Linked DNA regions of Notamacropus eugenii. The protein of the gene in region 1 purifies or fractionates together with the protein of each later gene. This does not show direct contact. Links are inferred from orthologs where the notes say so. Each region holds a gene or a part of one and is shown in the gene's direction. Other genes may lie near its edges.

The links.
Region 2: the proteins of PLA2G4A (region 1) and S100A10 purify together in Homo sapiens (affinity purification with western blotting; 3 studies listed by BioGRID). This does not show direct contact. The link is inferred for Notamacropus eugenii from reciprocal best matches to the Homo sapiens genes PLA2G4A and S100A10.

The regions. Positions count from the first base shown.
Region 1 is NC_092873.1:458,072,849-458,085,371, reverse strand, and holds the start of PLA2G4A (cytosolic phospholipase A2), read left to right. Parts: upstream 1-6,046; 5' UTR 6,047-6,152; intron 6,153-12,523. UniProt on the Homo sapiens protein: Has primarily calcium-dependent phospholipase and lysophospholipase activities, with a major role in membrane lipid remodeling and biosynthesis of lipid mediators of the inflammatory response.
Region 2 is NC_092873.1:305,908,245-305,920,937, reverse strand, and holds the start of S100A10 (protein S100-A10), read left to right. Parts: upstream 1-7,110; 5' UTR 7,111-7,245; intron 7,246-7,938; exon of another isoform or gene 7,939-9,338; intron 9,339-12,693. UniProt on the Homo sapiens protein: Because S100A10 induces the dimerization of ANXA2/p36, it may function as a regulator of protein phosphorylation in that the ANXA2 monomer is the preferred target (in vitro) of tyrosine-specific kinase.

The DNA.
Region 1 (12,523 bases):
ATGACCAGTAAGTTCAACTACGAAATCCTCTGCTTGTCACTGAACACTTTTTCCTCACTTGTCTTCTTCCTACCTTTACAATCTTTTCATACCTAATGAATCTTTCCATGTTCTCTATGGTTCAGGCACACCAGTCTACCTGCATTTTCTCCAGCAGGATGCTTCATCTCCTCTCTCTGTGCCCTTGCATTGCATTGTCCCAGGCCTGGAATACCCTGTCTCCTCAGCAACACCCTTAAGTCTCCCCTGTCTTACTTCAATACCTCATTCAAAACCTTTATGTAGAAGACCTTTTCTGGTTTCTTAGACTGCTAATGCTTTCCCCATAGAAGTTACTTTCATCTACTCTGCATGTAACAAATTTGAATCTCCCTGGTTATTTACATGTTTCCTCCTTCTTTAGAATGTAAGCTCCTTTTAGGGCAGGCAGAATTTTTTTTGCCTTTTTTTGTATTCCCCAGCATTTGCCATAGTGCCTGACATATTTTGTGTCTGACTCTTCATGACCTCATTTGGGGTTTTCTTGGAATGATAATAATGGAATTGTTTGCCATATCCTTCTCCAGATAATTTTATAGATTAGGAAACTGAGACAAACCGGGTTATGTGATTTTCACAGAGTCACAGCTACTAAGTATCGGAGTATGATTTATGGATATGGATATGAGTCTTCCTGACTTCAGGTCTGGTACTCTAACCACTGTACCAACCCAGCTGCCCTAGTTGGTGCTTAATAAATGCTTGCTGCTGACCAGGAGACAAGTCTACCACTAGTCTCACGCTCAAAGACTTTCAGCCAGGCAGTACCCAACAGGGTTTGTGTTTTGCTGGTATAGCCTCCAATAATTTCTATTCAAACCTTGGCTCCCAAGAAGAGTTTAAAAAAATGCATCTCTTTCCCTTCTTTGAAGACTATGGGGTTTGGAATATTACATAAAATCTAAGATATGTTTGATGTGTTGGCTATTTTTGCAGAATTTTTTTCTTTTCTCTTTCTTCTTTAATCTTTGTTATGAAGAACGGATGGGTGAGCAGGAGAGAGGAGAGGGACGTATTCAGAAATGAAGGTAATGTAAATGTACGTTATTAATATAAAATGGATTTAAAAGATACTCAGGGTTATTTCTGTGTTATGATGTAATTAACGTTGGAGTAAGATATCCAGGGAGAAAGTGAATATTATTAACATGAAGAAAACCAGCAGCATTTTATCCACTCCCTAGCACACTGAATTTAAAGCTTTTTAAAAAATTAATTAATTTTTTTTTTCAGTTTTCAACAATCTCTTCCATAAGTTTTAAATTTTCACCCCCGCACCTGAGATGGCATGCAATCGTATATGGATTCTACACATACATTCTTATTAAACACATTTTCACTTTAATCATGATGCGTAGAAGAATTAAAACAAATGGGAGAAGTCATGAGAAAGTTCAAACCAAGCCAAAACATAACACATGAGAAAATAGTTGGCTTCATTCTGCATTCTGACCCCATAGTTCTCTTTCTGGATGTGGATGACATTTTGAATCAAGAGTCCTTTGGGAATGTTTTAGGTCCTTGCATTGCTGTGAAGGGCTGTCTATCAGAAACAACTCTCACACCCTGTGGCTATTACTGTGTATAACGTTCTCCTGGTTCTGCTCATTTCACTCAGTATCAGTTCATATAAGTCTTTTCAGATTTTTCTGAAGTCCTCCTGCTCATCATTTCTCATAGCACAATAGTGTTCCATTACATGCATATACCACAGCTTTTTCTGCCATTCCCCAATTGATGGGCATTCCCTTGATGTCCAGTTCCTGGTCATCACAAAAAGAGCTACTATAAATATTTTTGTGCATGTGGGACCTTTTCCAATTTTTATGATCTCTTTGAAATACAGCCCTAGAATTGATATTGCTGGGTCAAAGGGTATGCACATTTTTGTAGCCCTTTGGGCATAGTTCCAAATTGCTCTCCAGGATGGTTGGATCAGCTCTCAGCTCCACCAACAATGAATTAGTGTTTCAACTCTCCCACATCTCCAACATTTACCATGTTTTGTCATGTTAGTTGAATTTAAAGCTTTTGAAGTTAAATGAATCAGTACTTGGCTTGTTCCATAATTCTTCTTATGGTTTGCTGTGGAATTAGAACTTTAATGACTGTATCAATGGCCTGCTCTGGCAAAATTTGAACTTGTTAAAATTCATCTTCAGCATCCTCTATGTTTGTATGCTCTTCCCTAATTTGATGTCTCTGAAATTAATCCTAATTCTACCCCTACCTATCCTCTGTTGTGCTGTATCATGCAAATCAGTCTTCTCTAAATCATTCCAAGATTTTGATCTTTTTCATTTCTCCACTCATCAAAATTTACCCATTCTTTGTCCTGCCACCACAGGTCCAGTGATCTCTGCTCATGTGTTAGTGGACGGTAGTTAATGAGCCTACATTTGCCTATCTGCAAAATGGGAAAAATACTAGCACCGACCAATAGGGTTGCTGTGAGGATCAATGGCTTTACAAACTCTGAAGTCCCATAAAAGTGGGAAGTATTATTCTTCAGCTAAGTTTAGTCTCTAACACATTGGAAGCTAGTGGCCTGAGCTCACTATTTCAGGACATGTGGAATGATCACTGCTGCCCATCTCCCACAGCCAACACTATGTGTACCACTCACTTTTCCCTTTAATCACATCCTGTATCATATTGTTTACTGTGTTTCATATCTCTATGTCTTCTCTTCCTGAGTAGATCACAAACTTCTTAAAGATAGACAGACATTGAATTATATAACAGTAGTAATGCAGCGATAATCACACTTTTATACTTCTTTAAGGTTTGTGAAATACTCTTATTATAACAGGTTGGTTTTTTGTTTTTCTGTCAAGGCAGTTGAGGTTAAGTTACATATCCAGGGTCACACAGTAAGTGTCAAATATCTGAGGTCAAATTTGAACTCTGGTCCTCCTGATTCCAGAACTGGTACTCTATCCACTGTGCGACCTTGCTGCCCCTTATAAGAATGTTATGAAGAGGTATTATAAGTGTAATAGGGGACTGGCTCCTGGGGGCCCATTTCTGGGAGCCTGTCCAACAGATTTCTCCTGCTGTCAATTCACATGGTAGTTTGGCTGAGTCAACTTCTGAAAGCGTGTGATGAGGTGGAGGGCCCCAGCACTCCTCTACAGAGAATTTGCAGAAATTCTGCAATTGTTTCCTGTTTGTTTACTGAGTGGTGAAGAAAGATCTTTTGATTGGCTGCTGGGCTGGAAGTGAATATTCATAGAAAGGACAGTAATTAGTCAAATCAACTTCCCTTTTCCTTGATAGTAATCAAGGGAAAAACTTGCTTCGAGCCCCCAGATAGCAACAGAGGCCTCAGACCCTTATCTACGAATCTGGGCTTCTGGGTGGCCTTGAACATTTGTTAATTTTCTGTCCCTGTCATGTTTTAGCCTTTCTTCCTCTTAGGTGAATGAGTGTAGGGGTTGGAATGGACCAGACCAATGGTTTTAAACTCATCTAGAAACAAGGTCCACCAATCCATACATAAGATCCCTGTGGGTTGCATATTTACTTAGATTTAACATGTAATACTCAAATCCAATTCAATTGCAAGTCATGTCATCATCTTCCTGATGTCATGGTCTTCTTTGAGAACAAAGGACAAACCACACAATGTTTTGTTATATTTTAATTTATTTTGTAAATATTTGCTGTTTTATTTATTATTGAAAAATAAAGTTTAAATTATTTACTCTCTCATTACTATTATTATTATTATTTAATAAATAAAATTTAAATGAATTGTTTACTATTTGGTTAAATATTTATTTTTTGTTTGGACAGTGCTCCAGAGTGTTATGCAGCTCACTGGCCAGATTCTTGACACTTCCAGACTAGGCTGCAACTCTGTGCTTTGAAAGAGCCTCTAGATGTCTAGGAACTTGATTTTGTCCCATAGTTTGGCTAGCTAAGCCCAGCGAGAAGTGTAGCCCCAAGGAGTAACCTGAGGGATCCATCCCAGAAGTCATTTACCCCAGGCAGTCAAGGGACCAACCACTCCAGAGTAACTTGTTCATAAGCCACATGGCACCCAGAATGGACATTGATAGGGCAAAGTCTGGTGGCAGCACCTTAAAGTTGAGCTCATTCTCCACAGGGACTGAGGTGGTAGAGGGAAGACTATGTCTCAGTTAAAGGGAAGGTATTTTCCTTTGGTTCATGATAAATTTTCTCAGTAATTATACTGTTTTAAGAACTAGTTGATTTCAATTATTTATTGATGAGATTGAGAAGCTGTTAAGTGATATTGGGCTGCTAATCACTAGCAGTGGTATTGGCGGAATAAATTAGAATAGGGGTCAGATGATACCATTAGAACCTCTTGAGGTTACCCCTAGAATCCTTGAATAGAGTGGTGATGCAGTTGAGTTCTGGTGACCCAGCTCTTCAATACAAGGAGATCTGGTGTTGAGAAAATACGTCCAGAGCTTAAAGGACTACATAAGTACCCCGAAGGGTAGCGAAGTGGTGTAGTAGATATAGCACTGGGTCTAACGTCTGGAAGACCTGAGTTCAAGTGTGGCCTCAGATACTTACTAGCTGTGTGACTCTGGGCTAGTTACTCTACTATATTTGTCTCGATTTCCTCATCTGTAAAATGACCTGGAGAAGGAAACAACAAAGCAGTATCTTTGCCAAGAAAACCCCAAATGAGGTCACAAAGAGTCAGACAGGACTGAAATGACCAAACAATAGGTATCATGAAACCTATTTTACATTGTAGATATGGAAAGGTAATGTGATAGGAGTGACTAAAAAGTTAATCTAGAAACAAGGAAGAACTGTGTTCAAGTTATGTCTGATACATACTGCCTACTTGACTGTGTGGGTACCTACTTGCACCATGCCAATGAAATCTCTATTCTAGTGCCCTATTCTGCTGATGAAGAAACATGAGGCTCAGAAAGGTATAGGGACTTGCCCAAAATCAAAGGACTATGAAGTGTCAGAATTAGAGTCTAGACCCAGCTCCATATCCAGTACTCAACTTTGTGTCTCCCCCAGACTGAAGCATTTGATACTTGTTCTAGTTAAATTATATATTGAAATAGTCTTTCTTTCTTCACTTCTGCCTGAGGGAGGAAAGATAATTAGAGCAAAATAAAAGTAACGTTAAGTATGAGACCTCTACTCCCATTTTCTTTGCCACTTATACGTAATAAAACATTTCACCTTTCAAGGCATGCTGGTCAGTCTTCAGACCAAGACCTTATGAAATTGAAGATGTGATTCATCTTTTGAGAGATCTGTTAAATAGATTTGTAATGAACCCTCAAATTCAGCCTTTAATCAGGTTGAGAAACCAATCAAGAACAAGATAATAATCCAGGAATTGAATCTAGAAGCCCTGTGGCATTGGGGTTAACAAGGAATTTTCTTTGCAAAGAGTAAAGAAGAAAACACAAATGCATATTGCCACTGATTAAAGTACCAAATGGAAGATATGTGTTTGAATACGACGAATAGAAAGCATAATGTTTATGGATCCCACGTCATCAATGTGTGGCAGTCAGACTTTAATTCAACAGTGGACATTCTTCAGTATAGGGGCCCAAGTTTTCTGGAGTCAGCTTGGATGCTCTGAACTACTTAGGGACTTTGGACCAGTTTAAATACTCTATATGAATTGATTGCAGTTTGCTTTTTAAATTCAAATGACAGCTACTTGGCACTCAATTCAGATGTTCTTTAAAAGTCAAAATTATAATTCATTACTTAGCTATCAAGCTGCCTTGCTATATATAGTTATAAAAACAGAGGAAACAGGGGTTACTTCAAGGAACTCAATGGTAAAAAGAATTTGTTTACGTATATTTTATATTCTTGTGGGTTTTTTTTTTTTTGCATTGCTTCGACAACTTTTCTGGGTTCACAGGCTTCACATTTCTAGACTGCTTTTCTAATTCCCTGCTAACTTTTCCCCTTCTTCAATTCCACCTTAAAACATCTGCCCAACCAGCTAGACCAGCCCACAACCTAGCCCCTCCCACTTAGATGATTTTTTTAAAACTTGTCCATACCCAGGCACTGAAAAAGAAGCCTTGCAGAAAGCTAAAGGGATAGACCGATCTGAAGATTCTAGTATACATTCAAGAACTGTAAGCAACATACTTACTCTTCCTTTTTTTTTTTTTAAGAAAAAAATTCCATTCGTTGCTAGTTTGTTAAATTTGTCAGGATAGAAAACCGTGGAAGGAGGCAAAAAAAGGCACAAGTTTTTCAGTCTGCATGTGACTTGACTTTTGAAAGGGGAAGCAGAGCCTTGAGAACGCCTGTTTCTTTTTAGCAAATGTGTACTTGTTTTACGAGGTCTATGAAAAAGAAAATAATCAGAAAAGGTGCTTTACCTAGCTTGGAACCTTGAAAGAAGCTTTTAAAGAGCAGTTAAGGTAGTGCTGTACCACTTCCACGTGATTGTGTAGCCCAATGATTGCTGTTCCTTAAACTTTAGCACTGTGACTACTTGACAACTCAAAGACTCCTAGGAAGAGATGGATTATATTCTCTTATTTGATTCTCTCTGAGTTTTTCTTCTCTTTTCCTTGTTTTCTTCTAATTTCTTCCTTTCCTCCTCCTTCCCTCCCCCTTTCTCCCTTTGTTCCTCCCCTTCCTTTCTTCCTTCCCTTTCTTCCTCCCTCCCTTCTTTGCTTCCTCCCTTCTCTCCCTCCCTTCTTCCTTCCTTCCCTTCTTCCCCCCTTCTTCCTTTTTCCCTCCCTTCTTTTCTCCTTTCTTTCTTCCTTCCTTCCCTACTTCCCTCCCTCCTTCCTTCCTTCCTTTCTCTCTTTCTTTCCCTCTTTCTTTTTGTCTTTCTTTCTCTCTTTCTTCCTTTCTCTGGAAATTCCAGATGTTGCAACATGAAAGAAAGCAAAGATTAATGTAGGATCTGGACCAGTGATGTCATTGGTACTGTGAACTTTCAGGTGATGTAACTCTCTACCAATGAAGATTCTCTGCAATTTATAGTATGAGAATTGTCTAGAGCACCAAAAGGGTAAAGTGACTTATCCTGAGTCACATAGCCAGTACCTGTCAGAGGCAGGATCTGAATCCAGGTCATCATGACTTCAAATTCTTCTCTCCATCCATTATTTCACTGTGCCCCTAGACTTAAAATGATTTTGGCAATATTTGTTTATGATGGAATATCACCTATTAGTAATAATATAGATGGTCAAAACAATAATTGTAATCTGACTTGCAGTAACTACAGCACAGATAGAGATGTTTGAAGGAAGATGAATAACAACAATTTTGTAATTTGAGAGTGGAAAATGATTTAGGAATTCTATTTTGGGGTAAGGAGATTTAAGGAGGGAAAGTAGAAAAAGTTGTTTTAGAATGGAATAGGCAGAAGCCATGAAAAGGAAAGAGAAAAATATAGATTTTGTTTTGTGGCTGTTTTAATTTAATTTAATATTGTTTGCAGTTTGTTAGTTGCCTTTCACAATCAAAATTATTTTATTTCTTAAAAGAAAATGTAAAATTCTTTTCTTATTTGTGTTAGTTTGTTGGATTAGGTGATTTTCTGTGCATATGTTATCTTGCTCCATATGTATTCTAAATATAGGTAGAGATTTTTTTTAAAAAAAAGTAGCTTGGGACTGGATAAAGATAAAATACATTCTTTGGATTTCAAAATAAGTTGGATGATAATAGGAAAGACACAGGATTGGGGGTCTGACTAGTTAAGGTCTCATCCTGGTTCTGCCATTAATTTTTTTTTTGTGACATTTGCAAAACTATTTAATGAGTGTAAGCCTCAGTTTCCTCATTCGTAGAATGACATGGTCATATTAGATTAACATCTAACATGAATGATCTATGATTCTACATGATGTAATCTAACTTTACCACAACCTAGAATTATATTTTAATTTTACTTAAAAATAACCTTATCATAAAACACAGAAAAAGAAATTTGCACCTGCTATTGGTGGATGACAAAAAATGATGTATCAACTAAAGCTGGCAGAGCATGCTGGGATCAGCATTGCACCATTCATTTGTTCTGGAAGATGCTTTCTATCTAAAAAAAAATGAGTGTCTAAGAGATAGTAAAAATGCTCAGACTTCAGCAGCTAAAATATCTCACTGCTCCATGTAAAGCAGTTCAAACAAGATTAAGAGGGAATGTTATTAGGAAAACTGGAAATGAAAAATAACAACACTTCTTAGAAGGTTTCACATTTTAAGTAGCCCATATAGCCATAAGCAAGCCTGTTTCTCCAGTTCATTTTAGGTAAGAGATTGGAATCCTCCCCTTTAATGGAGCATTGTAAGAGTTAAATGGTAACTGAAGCAATTCTTGTGAAATGTATAGAGAAGTAAATGTTTAATCTGTATATGCAGAAAGCAGTTTACAAACTTCCTGTAGAGGAAGCACTTTTTTAATTGGAGAAAATAGAGCTCCTTCTGAACAATTTAAGTAATTTAAAAGTTTTTGACAAGAATTCTTGGTTTAGGGTGTTGGAGAAAAATTGTGAAGCAGATTCCTGAATCTCTGACAATGTTTAGTAATAGAAATAAGTGGTTCTTATTCCTAGCCAACAGTAAGTCCTGTTAGCCCTGCTTATCTACAGAGTGTGGTACTTTCAAAATTAGAACACTTTAAAGGCAGGGAGTAAATGGAATAGCTTAAGATTATATCCATTTAAAAATAGTTTGCAAGTAGAAAAGAGGAAGACCTAGAATTAGTTTGTGGTTCATTTTCCTTAGACATGTCTTACACTAGCCAACTCCTTTTTTTTTTTCCATAGCTTTAGAAAATAAAAACTAGAAGCTTTGTGTCATACGAAAATATTCTCCAGAATGTTTTCATGACACATTGAATTACTGAAACTTACAAAGAACTAGTTAAAAAGAACTAATGGTATGGAAAGGAAATTTTGACCCCAAATAAAGTCCTTAAAGGCCCCTCTTCCTCTTACTCATTCCTCCCAGCAGTGCAAGGGCTTCTTGTATTGCATTTTAGACTTTAGTGACACAGCAAAAAACAGGACTTTTTGATATTCTTCTTCTAAGTAGATCAGAGATTTGTGAAGAATAAACCCTCATAAACTGAGTACCACATCTTTAGAAATTTGGTATCTCTGTTAAGTGTATGTGGTTAACTGAAGTCACTTTCTGTGTACACATATGTAGGAGTATTTCCCTGCTTCAGAAGATGCGTGGTTTCCTGTGAGATGCTCTTTCTACGGATAAAGATAGCAACACCTCCACACCATAATAGATCTCTGATAAGACTTCACGAAATGCCTCTTAGGGAATGAGTGAAACCTTGAGTTAGGAGGTTGTAGGTTGGCACTGTATGACAATGTAACTTGGTGACTGGTGTCTTGTACTACTAGGAAGTTCTGAGTGAACGCTGTGTCAAGGCAGTGAACTCAAAGGGTGACAACGCAGTCATGGACAAGATGATATCCACAGATTTGGTGGGTATCTTTCTTTTTAGGCATTTTAGAAAGGTAGTATTATGCAGCGGAGAGAGGGCCAGGAATCAGGAAGGTCTAGGTTCATTATGTCTTGCCTGTGACATATGGCTGTGTGATTTTGGGCAAGTCACTTAATGCCTCAGAAAATCTCTAAGACCATAAGTTACAGAGAAGTTGTAGATTTCCACCAGGGAGAGAAGTTTCCATGTTAAGGTGTTTCAAATCTTGACGAAATATTAGGTCGAAGCAAAAAAATCATATTTTTAGAAATATATATATATATATATATATATATATATAGTTCTACAGATATAAGAAGCCTGCTAGATGAATGAAATTATAAATTATATATTTTTTAGCTTTCTGTTAAAAATATAACCTTTATTCTGAATTGTTCACCACAGACAAACCTGTTTTTTGCAATATAATACACTAGCATGTCCTACCGAGCATGATTGTCCAGTGAATTAGTGGGAAAGCTGTGAAAAACTGAATGTTTCTGCAGAATCTGTAGCCATCTGGTTCAACTGATACCTGAAAGGAATCCTACTTCCAAACAGTATACTTGACAAACAGTCATACAGCTTTTCCTTTTCCAAGGAGAGGAGACCCATTCCACTTTTGTGTTAACTTGCTTGGTAGCAAACTTTCATCCACTGAGCCTCAATTGGCTATTTTGCATTTTCTGGTCACCGCTCTTGGTTTTTTTTGCTGGGAACAAGCCAAATAAATTCAATTTCTCCTCCCTTGTTGGTCTTTCATATAATCATCCTGGTTGCTGCTCTGGAAAGTCACCAATTTATTAATGTCCTTTTTTAAGTCATGGTGGTTCTAATTAAAGACAATGTGGTCTACCCAGGGCCCAGTACAGGCTAATGTTGTGAATAGTGGGGTGGTAGAGAAAATTAAGCCTGCAAATTATGAAACTATAGATTCCACATTGGCATTGATTGGGGTAGGATGGTGATAACAATTATGCTGATAATGCCAGGAACCGAACCCAGAAAGAAGGCAGGGATTCTACCACTGAACAACTAATTATTGTACAGCAACAACAATTATAGTAACTTGGAGCACAAGAGAAAAAGGAAATCACAAGAATTAAAAGTCTACATAAAACTGTAGGATTGTAAGAAACCAGTATTCTCTGCTTGTATTCTCAAACCCTAAACAATGTTTTTCAAAACAGTTACTTTTTTTCCTTTTTTTATGTTTTTTTGGTAAACAGTATTCATTTAGACATTTTTATTTTTACACTGGCTAATTAAGTTGCAGAAATAATGGTATTAATTTGGTTTTTTTTGAGAGGATTCTTTCTCTGTGTCTAAAAGAGTGAAAGAGTGAGGCTGCTTAGCTATGATATCAAGATGGCCTTCATAAAATTTGATGCCTAGAGCTAAATTTTGATCATTGACAGTATTAAAAAATGTTTTAAAGGGTTTTATTAGTGATCTCTATGCTGAGGTGGAGAAGTTGGACTGATAAGACAGGATGACATGGAGGGACAGCATGACATAATTGAAAAAACACTGGATTTGGAGTTACAGAAGCTGGGTTTTGCTAGGGCCTCTGTCCATCACTCTACTGTGGAGCAAATTGATTAACATTTTGTACCTTAATTTTCTTATCTTTAAAACAAAAAAGTTTGGAATAAGATATCTCTAAGAATCTTTCTATTTCTGAATCTATAATGCTATGATTCAAAGAGATTTAAATGAGTGGTAATTCTTGGTTATCAGGTTCTGAGTACATGATGGACCTATGGAGGAAGTTTGTGGAGATTATATTGTATAATTATATAACTCCAGTGATCATACATCAGACTCTGTACTGGGTATTTGCTGTCCATCATCTGTCTGAGAAAAGGACACTAAATCCCACAATCTTCTAGATTTATGATTATATGACTATTATAGCCACTCGTTGGTGCTCATTTTAACACATCTATAAAGAAAAATCACCCAACAATTTTAGACATCTCTAAAAGACTGTCAGTTGCAGAGAAGGTACAGAGTAGCATTTGTACAAGGAGTTTCCTTACCTAGGTTCAACCCCTATCCCTATAAAGGAAATATTGTCACCCCATTTTATAGAGGTGCAAAGTAGGTTTATAGGATTCAAATAATCCGTAATCAGAAAACACATTTTAATCCCCTGATATGACCAGCTGTGAAAACCTAATGCTTAAAATTAGTTTATTAACCAGTTTTATCTCTCTATAAAATCAGTAATATCTTTCACCAAAGTGCTCCCATATACAATAGAACTTATGTACTCCTATATACCTAAAGTACTTAGCCTCAAATTGTATTGCTTTTTCTTTTCTTTTTTTAAAATTAGTTTTATGTTAATTGCTTGTCTTTTTTTCAAAATGGCAAGCTCCCAGACATGATAATAATACCTTTACATTTCTATATCTGTTTTCTACTGAAGTTCTGTTGCATTATCTCATTTGACATGAAGATGACTGTGGGTTTTTAAAGGTCATGCTAGTGGACCATAAGCTCTTCTAGGTCCTGTGAAGCTTGGAAGGCTTTCTTACAAAGTGTGTATCATTTGAGGCCAACCAAGTTTGGAGAGGCTCATTACTGGGGATAAATATGTTGAGTCATGGACAGCAATTTGCAAAGGTCAAGTTATCTACATAGAATACTTCCACTTTCTTCTCAACCCATTTTAATATGGCATTTTCCATTATTTCTTTACTGTAATTGCTCTCTCTAAGGTCACCAGTGATCGTAATCTCCAGATCCAATGAGTTTTTTAAAAAATCCTTATCCTCTGTTGGATGACCACAGCATCGGATATGCTTGGCCATTCTTTGAAGTGGGTCTCCCCTTGTTCTGCTCCTATCTATCTTCTCTCTTTCCCTAATTCCTGATCTTATTCTCAACTCGTTAAGGTGGGTGTTCTCAAATTTTCTCCCTTTAGACATCTTTCTGTTCTCTCTCCCTTTCACTCTCACAATTTGTTCCTCCCTCTGTGCAGATAACACCCCATTCTCTATCTCTAGCTACGATCTCTTTTCTGAATGTCTC
Region 2 (12,693 bases), about 150 Mb from region 1:
TGAGATCAAATCTGACCTCAGACACTTACCAGCTGTGTAACCTTGGGCAAGTCACTTCGCCCTATCAGCCTCAGTTTCCTCATCTGTAAAATGAGCTGGAGAAGGAAATGGCAAACCACTCCAGTATGTTTGCCAACAAAACCCCAAATAAGATCACAAAGAGTCAGACACAACTAAACAGCAACGATAACAACTAGGATGTTGTTATTAGTAAGTCAAAGTTTACTAACAGTATCTCCCCTTAATACATTTCCAGTAGAAGACAGGATGATGTACTTCATCCATTTCTCACATAATTTTGATTTCTTTGGTTAGTGCTTTATAGTTCCCATGTAGCTTGGACATTATGAGTATCTGGTATGGCCACATCTACTAAAAACATTGTTCTTATATTTTTATTGATTAGTGTCATGTTTGTTTGCTGTTGTCTCTTGTTGTTGATATTTCCAATGTACAACCTCTGCTTTAAAGTTGTCTCCTTATAACTCCTACTCAGTCCATAAAGTTGATTGTAAGCCTGGGTTGCATGACTGGCACAAATCAATTGCTTCAATTCAACATTTATGAATAGCCTACCATGTGCAGAGCTCTATGTGAGCCATTAAGACATACAAAGTTTAGATAAGACTCAGCCTCTGCCCTGATGGATCTTAGGGTCTAGTAAAGGGATAAGACATAACCACAAGTAACTACAAAACATGATATTTTGAGATAAGTACTGACTTCCATGGTCCTCCAGGCATAGAACCTCATTGAATATTTGCTGGCAAAGACAGGAATATCTAGGCTAAGTACCTGAGACTCACACCCTGACATGATGTGTGATATGACCAGAACTGGATATTAGGAAGATTAGTCTTCCAAGTGATGGCAGGATGCCATTGAAAACTAGCTTCGCAGTCTCCTTTGCTTTCTGTTCTAACATAGGACCGCCCTTAGGACAATATTTGAAACAAAGGAGAGACTCATAAACATCCAGTTTTCCAAGAGGAATCCTCATGAGTGAAGTCAGCGTCACTGCTGCAGAGAGGGAAGCAAAGGGAATGCCGAAATCCAAGAGCAATTTTCCTGGCAATGGTCAAGATTAATCATGTGCTGACACTTCTAGGATATTCCCTGAGTCTGTTCATTCCTTTCTGATCATTCATTCCTTTGGGATGTCCCCTTGAGAGAAAAGTTATGTAGGAAAGAAAGCCCTAGGAATTAGTTCTGGGCCATTTTCCACCAGTACTTATTTGCCTGTAGCTTCTGAAGATGCATGCCTGAAGCACGACTAAAATAAAAATCTGCCTGATAGTGTTTGTGCTGAGGATTATAAGGGCCAGACTAATCTTCCTAACACCTGGTTCTGGTCATCACATCATGTCATTCCAGTCACTGCTCAAAGACCTTTGATGGCTCCCTGGGACCTAAAGAATCAAGTCCGAACTCAGTTTGTCATTTAAAGTCCTCCACGATCTCATTTCTTCTACCTCCAGACCTTGAGGCAAGTCATGTTACTGCTCTGAGACTCAGTTTCCTCACCTGTAAAATTGAGGGGGTTGAACTAGATCAAAGATCATATATTTAGGGCTGGAGAAGACCCTAGAGGTCATCTAGTCCTATCAATCCTCTCATTTTAGGTAATAGGCATTTATATTGCACCTACTACATGCCAGGCACTGCCCTAAGCACTTATTTTTACAAATATTATGTCAAATATTTTATAAATATTATTTGATTTTACAGAGGAAGAAACGGAGGTCCCACAAAGCTAAATTCCTGGCCCCAAGTCACACAGATAGTAAGTGGATTAAACCCAGGTCTTTTAACTTCAGAGCCAATTCTTTTCCCCCTACACCATGAGCTCACTAACCTGTGACTTCCAATCTACCTTGCCAGTCTTGTCACATGACTCCCTCTACAGATCCTATTTTCTGGGCAAACTCAGCTGCTTGCTATCCCCTCTATATGCCCATTTTCTCCTGATTCTGCCTTTGCTTGTGTTGTTCCCTAGGTCTTCTCTCCTTATCATCCCTCTCCACCACTGTTCATCTAATTGTGACTCATGCTTTAAAACCAGTGGTATGATAGTAAATGCTTACCAACCAGTTCTTCCCCTCAAAAAAATTGTGTGCAGGACATACTTTTAAGTGTAAATGTTTTTTCCAACACTTTTTAAGTTTAGATAATCAACAAAACAATAAATCAAGCCCGGATTGATAGTGCTTTCTAATTTTCAAGGTATAAAATGCTCATACTAAAAATTTAACAATCAGCTCTTGCTGGTGTATTCAAACCGGCTCCAGCATGACCCTGTTTAAAGCTTACTTGAAGTGCCTCCTTAATTATTAGAATTATGAAGATTTAGAACTAGAAGAGACTTCAAGATCAACTAATTCAACTTCATCATGCACAGGTGAAGAAATTGAGGCTAAGTGACTTACCTTGAAGCATTTGGGTAATAATTAACAGGTTTAGAGAAGGAGGGAGCAGCCAGGTGGTGAAGTGGATAGAGAGCTGGGGGCCTGAAATTAGGAAGATTCCTCTTCCTGAGTTCAAATCTGGCCTCAGATACTTAATAGTAATGTGACCCTGGGCAAGTCACTTCACCCTGCTTGCCCCAGTTTCCTCATCTGTCAAATGAACTGAAGAAAGAAATGGCAAACCCCTCCAGTATCTTTGCCAAGAAAACCCCCAATGGGGTCATGAAGAGTCAGACAATGAAAAATACCTGCAGAAAGGAAGTTTCACATTCATGCTGGCACTTTTTGTCTTAGCAAAGAATTAGTTGGGGAATGACTAAACAAATTGCGGTATGGGATATACTACAAAAAATATTAGACTGTACAGTGTTCTGCACACAATCTGCACCTAATGAACGTCTTTCATATTGAATTGGATTCAACAGGGAATAGTAATGGACTTGGAAAGATGGTAGGGGAGATCAAGTAGTAGCCTATATTCATGCAACTTCCTTCAATCAACAAATATTTAATTATTTCCATGTGCAAGACTGTGTATTATGTGCTGTGAACTGCCCAATGTCAGGGTTGGAAAGAACCTCAGCAGTAAGTTCATTAAACTCCTGTCTGAACAAGAGATGTCTGCAATGTCTCAGGTAAGCAATCACATAGTTCCTGTTCTCACGAAATGTTCATTCTAGAATGTATGAGATTGAAGTCCCAGTAAAAATCACCTGGGAGAAAGAAACCTGGAAATAAACACTTTCTGAATCAAAGAAACAGTTCAGAAAATACTGCTCTGTGTCCAGTTATCCTTCTTATCACCAGTATGGATGACTAGAATACCTCAGAAGAGGTAATACTAAGGAATAATTAGATTTTCCAGTCAGCCTCTTGTCAAACCCCCTTCAAACAATCCCGAACAAATTTCAAAAAGTCTGGTGGCTTACCAGCACTTTGAAGTGACTTTATCTGAAACCGTTGGCACTAGGAGTTATGATGGTGACATCCCACATGGGCCCACAGATGTTCCCCAATAGTAAATGGAGGCAATAAACTTTAGAAAGCCTCTTTGCCATCCGTCTAGCCTTAAAAAGGGCTACATGCTACTGAATACTGGCGACAAAATCAGTGCACTTTGTCCTGGTATGGTGCAACCATAACAGAGAACTTTTGTTGCCATAATCACCATCAGTGCTGTTACTCACAAGGACTGACACTAAAACTTCCTGAATGTCAAGCAGTGAAACTCTGGAATTGTCTATAGTCACTTAACATCTCCTGGTCACTGTTTCCCCATTCATAAAATGCACAAGTTTAGTCTTTATAATCTCTAAGCTCTAAAACTATGAGCTTATAACTTAACCAGTGGCAGCTGAGTGGCACAGTGGATAAAGTGCTAGGCCTGGAGTCAGGACTACTCATCTTCCTGTGTTCAAAGTCAGACACTTACTAGCTGTGTGTTATTGGGCAAATGACTTAACCTTGTTTGCCCCGGTTTCCTCCTCTGTCAACTGAGCTGAGAAGGAGATGACAAACTGCTCCAGGATCTTTGCTAAGAAAACCCCAAATGGTGTCACAGAGTTAGATATGACTGAAAAAGAACTGAACTGAAAATGATCTGACTATAAATCAAAAATAATTAAATTTACCAAAACTGATGTAGTACCCTTATATGAAAGTCTATCTAGCAGAGTGGACTTGGAATCAGAAGACCCAGAAAATGAAGATAACATTTCCAAGAGGTAAAATTGTATAAAGGATAGAGAGTTGATATCAAAGTTAAGAAAACCTGAGTTCAAATTTTACTGCTGATAGCTAATGGCTACTGATTAAGTAGCCCCCAGACAAATCTTTAAGACTGAAAGTGGAAGAGAAGATATAAATCTGCATTGGCAACAGAAATTCCTCAACAGGAACTCCCTATAGCAATGAAATCCGAGATCTGGCCAAAGAAATAAGAAGGTTGTTGTTGAGGAAAGGTCTACCTTGTTAGGTCCTCGAGTGCTATAAAAATGCTAGCTATCATTATTATTCTTTATTGAGTCACTGGAGATAGAAAGAAAAAGGAAGATCTGACCTTCAAGGGAGACTGTCCTAAGGGGACACAGATGAGCTTAATAGAAAGTATGATGTGATAGAGGAAAAAAAGAGCGATAATAAGATCTTAGATCTGGAAGAGGCCTGAGTAATTCCTCTGGTCCACCATCCTTATTCTATAGATGAGAGAACTGAGATCTATTGAGGTTCAGGAACTAGCCCAGGATCACACAAGCAGTAAGTGACTGAACCGCCATTTGAACTCAGATTCTTGAACTCCAAGTTCATCATCATGCTCTAGAGTGGGTGAGGAGTCTGAGCGGGGTGAATCAAAAAAGGCTGAGTGCTTCCTTCAACTTTCACCTCCAGTCTCCCCTTCATCCATAAGCTTTTTGAAGTTTCCCCACACTCCTTGTGCCTTCCCTCTGAGAAGACCTCTCATTTACCCTGTCTATATCTTATATGGGACATCTTCCTGAGTTCAAATCTAGCCTCAGACACTTACTACCTGTGTGGCCCTGAGCAAGTCACTTCACTCAGTTGGCCTCATCTGTCATCTATATTTCCTCATCTGTCAAATGAGCTGGAGAAGGAAATGTCAAATTACTCCAATGTCTTTGCCAAGAAAACCCCAAATAGGATCGCAGAGTTTGAAATGACTCGACAACAGCAAAAATATTTTATATGTACGTAGTTGTGTGTATATTCTAATTCTAAACTCTTTGAGAATAGGGATTGTGTTTCCCTTTCTTTGTTTAGTCAGAATGATGCCTAGCAAGACAGTAGGACTTAACATATACATCTTGTGGTTGTTTCTCATGGAGTAGGAAATTCCCAGGTTGAGACTTAATAGATCAGAAAGATTTCAACAGGGAGAGGAGAGAAGGCCCTATACCTATCTCAATACTTCAATGATGCTGTGATCTCTTTGAGGTGAGGGCTCCTTCCAGTGGTGCAAACTGAAACCCATCCACACCTTGTCCTCCTCTCTAACTCTAATCATGTGTTCACATAAATTCATCCAATAATCCAGGGCTCTTCCTCACCCTCTTTCCTTTTCCCCTACCTTTCTCTTCTTGACATTGTGTGGATACCGGGCTAGCTGTGTGCCGTCCCTCACTGGCTACACAACTCTAGACTGATATATTGCTTTGTTTGAGCATTTTGTAATACCTGGCAACCTCTGGCACCATTTGTCTCTCCGTTGCCTTTTGGGTAACCCATAATTTTGATTTCTTGGCAATTTTGGTTACTGTGTGAGTTTCAGAACATTGCTATTGGAATTGTGCTTCAGGGAGAAGTTGGAGATCTTAAAAGCACACAATTTCCCAAATTCAATACCAGCTCCTCTCCCCACTCCTTAGCAAACCCACTGCTTATTGAACTGAATTCAGTCCAATCAGCTCTCGTTTTCCTATTCAGATACAGGCTAGGTTCATTGTCCATTCACACTGTCTGTCCAAGATATAAGTACTAATAGAGCAGCTTGACGGGCTCTCTATCCAACCACACATTATAGTCTGGTCAACCGACATTCTACGTTACACGTAGTAGGCACTTAACAAAAACTTGCTGAATTGTTCATGGAATCGAGCTCATTCCAGGACAAAACCAGAATAAAATCAGGGAATATAGCTAGTAATCCTTTCAAAGATTTCGAAACTCACATTTTTAAAGTACCTACTAAAACTGAAGCTGAGACATCAGCCAAAGTAGAAAATGAAACCAACAGTAAAGAAAAGGCAAGTCTCCCATTAGGAAAAAGACGCTTAATGTATACATCAACCTAGGAAGTCAAAAAACTTCAGTGCAACGTAGTAATTATTTTATTAAGTGCTTACATTGTGCTAGACCCTGGGGAATACAAAGACAAAAACAAAAGCAGCTCCTGCCTTCAAGGAGCTTACTTTCTCCCAACAGCCGCGAGTCTCTTTTGCCATTCCCCTTCCCCCAGAATCTCTTCCCTTTCGCCCTCCTTGGGCTACTAAGAGGTTAAGAAAGTAAAAAGAGGTGGGCTGCATTCCTTCCTCTTCCTTAAGAATAAAGAGGGAAACCTCCGCTACGCAACAACACCCCAGCCAGGGAGGAGTCTGGCTTGGCTTCAGGGTTCTTGGAACGTATGTTCTTGGCACAACCCAAATCTTAACTAGATCCTAGCTCCCAGACAGTCCCACCTTCTTCCAGCAGAAGCAGCTAGGAAGAGGAGTCTTGGAGAAAACAATTCCCAGATCAGGATAATACCAGGGTGCATGTTACAATTGGTTCTGAGCCAAATGGCCCAGCCCACCGACTGTTGGATGCTTTTGTTTCCACCACCATCCACACAAGGAGAGAGCGAGGACACGCCCCTACCTCCCCCCACGTCCTTGTCTCCCCCACTATTTCCACACAGCCAGTATTCTAAAAGTAACTCAAGTGGGAAATGCACTGTTCTTGCACAGGGATGCCCTGAAACCTTCCATGGGGAAGCACATTCTTGCCTGAAGAGAACACAGGCGCGCACACAACTAGCGGAGGGAGGGGGCTGGAAAAAGTTAGAACCTGGGTCCTAGAGGTGGGAGGGAGAGCAGAAAAGGGAGGGAGGGTGAAAGGGGTGGGGCAAGAGGAGGCACTGTGCAATCAAAGCCTACTCCAGTCTCCCCTGCCCAGCCCCACGTTCCTCCCTCTCCCCCACCCACCCCAAGAAACTCCAAGGCTTATAGTGCTTGCTGCAGTCTTCTCGTTTCGTTCTCGCTGAGCTACTGCTTCTTGCTTAGGCAAGGTGAGTTCCTCTCTCTGCGTCTCTATCTCTCTGTGGTTATTTTGACCGCTTTGTCGTTTCCTCCCACTAAGGCACAGATGTGGGGAGGCACGAGCTAATTCAGCCACCTCAGGGAGCAGCCGCAGAGCCGGCTGCGCTACTCCAGGACCCCCAGGGCTAGACGAGCGCCCACTCGCTGCCCCTCCAGTCTGGAATTTCCAACTGCCTGGAACAAGGCTGCTCAGGACCAGCCCCGAGAGCCCGCCTTCCCTGATCGGGCTGCATTTCCCAGCGAGGTCAGAGGTTGAGGGTGTCCCGACCAGGAGGCGCCCGAAGCCACTTGCGGGTAGCTGTTCTCTGGGGAACCGCTGTTCCAGAATGACTGGGACCACACCCAGGGGCGCGCTACGGCGCGCCCCTTCCCGAGTCAGGGCTAAGTGGGTGCCTAGGCAGGGCAGGAGGTGAGACGCAGGAAGGGAGGGTGTCTGGGCACCTGGGACACCTGGGAGTTGGCATGCTGAGAATATGCCTAGAAGGATCCGGGCTGGAGTAGTGCCCCAAAACCTTTGGAGGAACAAAAGCGACTGACGGACGTTAAGTTGCCTTCCTTTTCCTCTCTAACAGCACCCTGCTCCCCGCCTCCATCTCCCATTCTCTCTCTGCTTTTTCTTGTCCTGCTGTCTATTTCCATTCTCCAATCACTCAGCCCCTTACCCTGCTGATCCTCTGGACGCTGGAAGCCATCTTTCTGGCAGTCAGCCTTCAGGCAGAGGTGGCCCAACTCTGGCCAGATGTTCCTCCATTATTTATTCCCAACAAAGTGCCAAGTGAGGCTGCCTTAGGAAATCCTCCCTGGGATAGACAGGCGTGAGCTTTGTCTGACAGTTCGGTCAGGGAAGCTTGGACATTTAGCCGAATTTAACGTGAGGCCATTCCCTGGGGTGCTACAACGCTGCTAGCTGGGTCGCTGCCTGGCTCCCCGCTCTTGATTTACACTCACGAGGCGTTTTCTCTTTCCTAGCTATTTTGGGCTGGGTTTCCTGTTGTTTGTGTGCTTGACTAGAAGGTGGCTGGCTGATCGTTACCCAGAGAGGAGAAGGGGAGACTGGGAGACGAGCAGAGGGATCTAGAGGAGGGCAGATAAAAAGAGATGGGGCAGGAATCAAAAACAATCTTAGAACCACCAGAGTTGTTTGTAAGGTAAGAGGAAACTACAATACAACTAAAGCATTTCCTCTCCCCAGGGGAAAAAAAAAATAAACTTTCCATTTCACCCTGACAAAGTTATAAAGTTAAATGTGAGAGGAGGGCAAAGAAGAAAAAAACCCAAATTCCTAAATCTCAAGTTAATTTTGCCCAATGGGAAAGAGATAAATAGACCCTGATACACAATTCTGTTGAGTCATATGTATAGCATTAAGTATGGTAACCTAAAGGAATGGAGAGGTGGTAATTCCAGACCTTATTACTGTACTATCTAAATTTTAATTCTGCAGCTAGGGGAATTCACAGCCATACTTTGGGGATATTGGAAGTAGAAGGACCAATTGGCCTGTTTGGGGTTGTTAGAAAATAACTGGAAGAAAGAAGTGGGAAGGGGCTAGATTCAAAATGCTTTGGAATGGGTGGTATCTATCACCTCACTAGTCACTCTAGGCCTAATGGCTTCCAGTGGCATATGTGAAGCACACTTTGTTCCTGGATTCACCTAGTGGTGGAAAGAAGGCAGAGTGATTCAGCAGCCAAGATGGTGTGGGTGTGGCCCTGATTCCCCACAAATTTCTCTGTTAGGGCAGAACTGTCCCTAAAGGAAAAGGGAAATTGCAATTTTAGAGGGCTTTCCCCAAAAGGAAGTCAATCAATGCCATACCTGAACCGTGATTTGAAAGAGGATCAGTTTGCTTCAATGCAGGGGCTCTGTAGTTGAGGACAGTTATAAAACTGATAGAGATCATGGCAAGGCTTCTAGATTATCATTCATTCATTCGTCATCTACTTAGTGAATGGTTACTGTATCTAGAAGGGGGAGAATACAGTTCCTGCCCTCACTTTTAACTAAAGTAGGGTTTGGTAAACAATTTTGCATCATGGACCCCTTTGGCAGTCACATGAAGTTTTTGAACATTCTTTTTAGAATAATGTTTTTAAATACATGGAATTACAAAGGAAACAATGCTATTGTAATACAGTTATTCAGTATTTTTTAAACATGCTCATGAACCCCAGGTCTAGTGGGAGACATAGGTACAAAAATAAATATCAAGTCCGCAGCAGCAAGATATGATGGAAATATCATTGATTTCGTGTTTCATTCCAAGCCCTGCCCTGTGTCCTTTTAGACAAATCATTCAACTTCTCTGGAAAGCAGTTGTTGAATCAGATGATCCATAAGGTCCTTTCTAACACTATGATCAAGAATCCTATTAAAAAGTAGCATGTGATTAGTATGTTACAGAGAAAGGGTTCAAAGGAGGGAGACATGACTTCTGATCTAGGAGAATAGGGGAAAGAAGACTTCCTGAACAGAGGAACTGGAGTTTAGCCTTGAAACATATCTAGGATCTTAGCAGGTAATGATGGGAGAGCATTTCAAGAGCAGAGGGCACATGTGTGTGAAAATACAAGATAAGTTCAGGGAACCAGAGGAGGCTAGCTTTGCAACTGCTTGTCGGAGAGATACACTGGCAGGTATTTTTTTCTGTTTGGAAAAGAGGTCAGTGGTTGGGTTTTTTTTTTCCCTCCAGTTTGAATTTCGATCTTTTAAGTGTTAGACTTCATATCCTGGGCTTGGGGTGAGGCCATACCCATGGAAACACTGTCTGGCAGTCATAACCTGATCTTTGCCTCCAACGTGTTTCAGCAAATTGCGAAAGATACTATGGTGGGTGGGGGAGAGGAATGAGTTCATAATTCATTTCAGATTTCTTCCTCAGCCCCACCCCTGCTGATTGCTATCCAGTTTTCATCCTCTTGTAAGAAAAAAATACTTCCCATTTGCAAGAGGTCAGTTTCTCACTGCATAAGTATCCAGTGTATAGAAGTTTGGGGGGAAAGTCTGAAATTAACCCTGATAGCCGGCTGGAGTGGACTCACATATAGTTGGACAAGAGAAATCTTATTAGGTGATACTTTTTGCAGGATGTTTCAATTAATAAGGCAACCTCTAGCCAATTCTCTGGTATGGTATCTCTGACCCTAAATTGGGTGGGGCTGAGATTGGGTGTGCCTTTGCTCAGCTCAAAAAAAAAAAGCCACTTTATAAGAGTTTGGCCACTTTGAGTAAACTTGGATCCTGAGTGAACAGTCCCATTGTTTCCATTCTATTCTGCATATGTTAGCATTTTGAGCTCAGTGAAATGCCAGGGTATTCAATGATGTATACCATAGTCCATCACCACCCCTCTAACAAAGGTTTTCCAGTACTTAACATCCCTCTGCTAAGCAGCTCCCACCTGCCAACCTTCAGATGAATTGAATATCAGGGAGTGGTACAAGTCAGAATGCAGATACATAACAAATCTTTGGAGAAATATATATGCTGATGAATAACTGATATTTTTGATTTAGTTCAAAATTAATTCCTCTTATTGAAATTTCAACTTCAGTATTTCTTCCAGTGTGCTTCCTCTGCTGCTGAAAGTTTTGACAGCCTGATTTGTGCAGCAGGGCAGGAGTTAGATTGTACTCAGACTCATTCAATCAATCCAATTTTTCTGAACCCCTAATAGGCCTCCCTGTAAAAGACCAAACTCCAGAGTTCCTTCTAGTTTCAGCTCTGGAACCATTACTTTATGACTTCCCAATGACAAAAGCAATAAAACCTCAACCACGTTAAACGGCTTTGTTTTTGCTGAAATGCTGCCAACCTCAGGCTGGGCTGGGTGGGCTGCAGTAAAAGAGGGACAGATGAAATGTGTGAGATGAAAAATGGTGATGTGCTTATGATTCCTATTTAAAATTAGATCCTGAACGAGAGCCCAAAGTTGGGTTTTGGGGTTTTTTGTTTTGTTTTCTTTTGTTGTATCTTGGTTTTGAGCTGGGGCATTGACTCTTCAGAAGTACCTTCCAAAAGAAGCCAACAGTCTCTTTTAATTCCCACTGTTTCCAAGAAGTAGATGTCCATTCATTTCATTTGAAGCAAAAGGATTCATTAAATGTAGTTCTGATAACCTGAAAAGAAAAACACTCAGGACTGTACCCTTCAGTCTAAGAGAGGCAGGGCTGGCTACAAGAAATGGTATCCAAGGATCTGGGTTAGTATCCTGGCTTTTAACTGTGTGACCTTGGTCAAGTCATTTCCCTTTCCCATGGCCTCACTTTCCTCACCATTAAGAAGAGAATGTTGGACAAGACCTCCAAGACCTCTTCCAACTCCAAATCTATGGCAAACAGTACAGAGCATACTGGCCACAACAACTGAGGAATATTAAACAGATGCAGAATGGACAGTAAACATACAAAGGTTCCAATTAGTGCAAACAATAAATCCTCTGAAATGTTCTCAGCTATTGAAATTCTCAGTATTTAAAGTAATGTATGTAAATATGTAAAATATGATCTTTGGTTCCAGACCAATGGAAATATACCCCACTTCCTGGGGTAAGGTATGATTCTTCACACTTATAGGGACCTAACTCTATAGACTAGAGGATTTGATCTTGTATAGATTCCTACGAAGATAAAAAAATTCTAAAGGAGAAAGAAGTGTGAGAAATTTTAGAGAGAGTAGAAAAACAAGATTAAAAGGAGGAAAAAGCAATTTCAAGGGTCTAATCAGACCTGTTTTGCAGGATTCATATTTTCCTTCATTTCTGGAATGTGTTTTCTCTGCCTGCCATCCTGGGGCCCTTCCTTTCTCAGCTCCTCCCTTCTGTTACATCTGGTTCAGACAGTTATGGTACTTTAAGCTCCATCTAGTGGTCTTCCTTGTTTCTCAATCTTGACTAAGGGGCTTAATAGAAATGCTCCCCTCCTACTGGGTTCCATAGTAACAGTTTGAGAGTTCCTTTTAGATTTGGAGCCAAAAGCTTGGGGTTCATATCCTAGCCCTTCTGCTGTATTGCTGGATCTCCCTTGGGGCCTCAATTTCCTCCTCCAGAAAATAAGGAAACGAGTTGATGAGCCCAGGCTGGCATAGTGGAAAGAGGACTGGATTAAGAATCAGCTTCACCATGAATCTTGGTTTAGCTGTTAACTTATGAGTGTAATGTTGGACAAGTCACATTCTGAGGCCTCAGTGTCCTAATTTGTAAAATGGAGGTGGAATGAGTAACTTCTGAGCTTCCTTCAAATTCTATACTTCTAAACTAGACAAGGGCCCTTCTTCAATCCCTATGACCATTTTCTGTCAGCTACCTTTAGAGTCTGTTTCTGGGTAGGATTTGAGTTTTCAAAATAAGATGGAGGAGCCCCACCCTGTCTTCCATCCAGAGTAGCCCAGCCTGGGAGGATGGCTGTGCAAATGGAAAC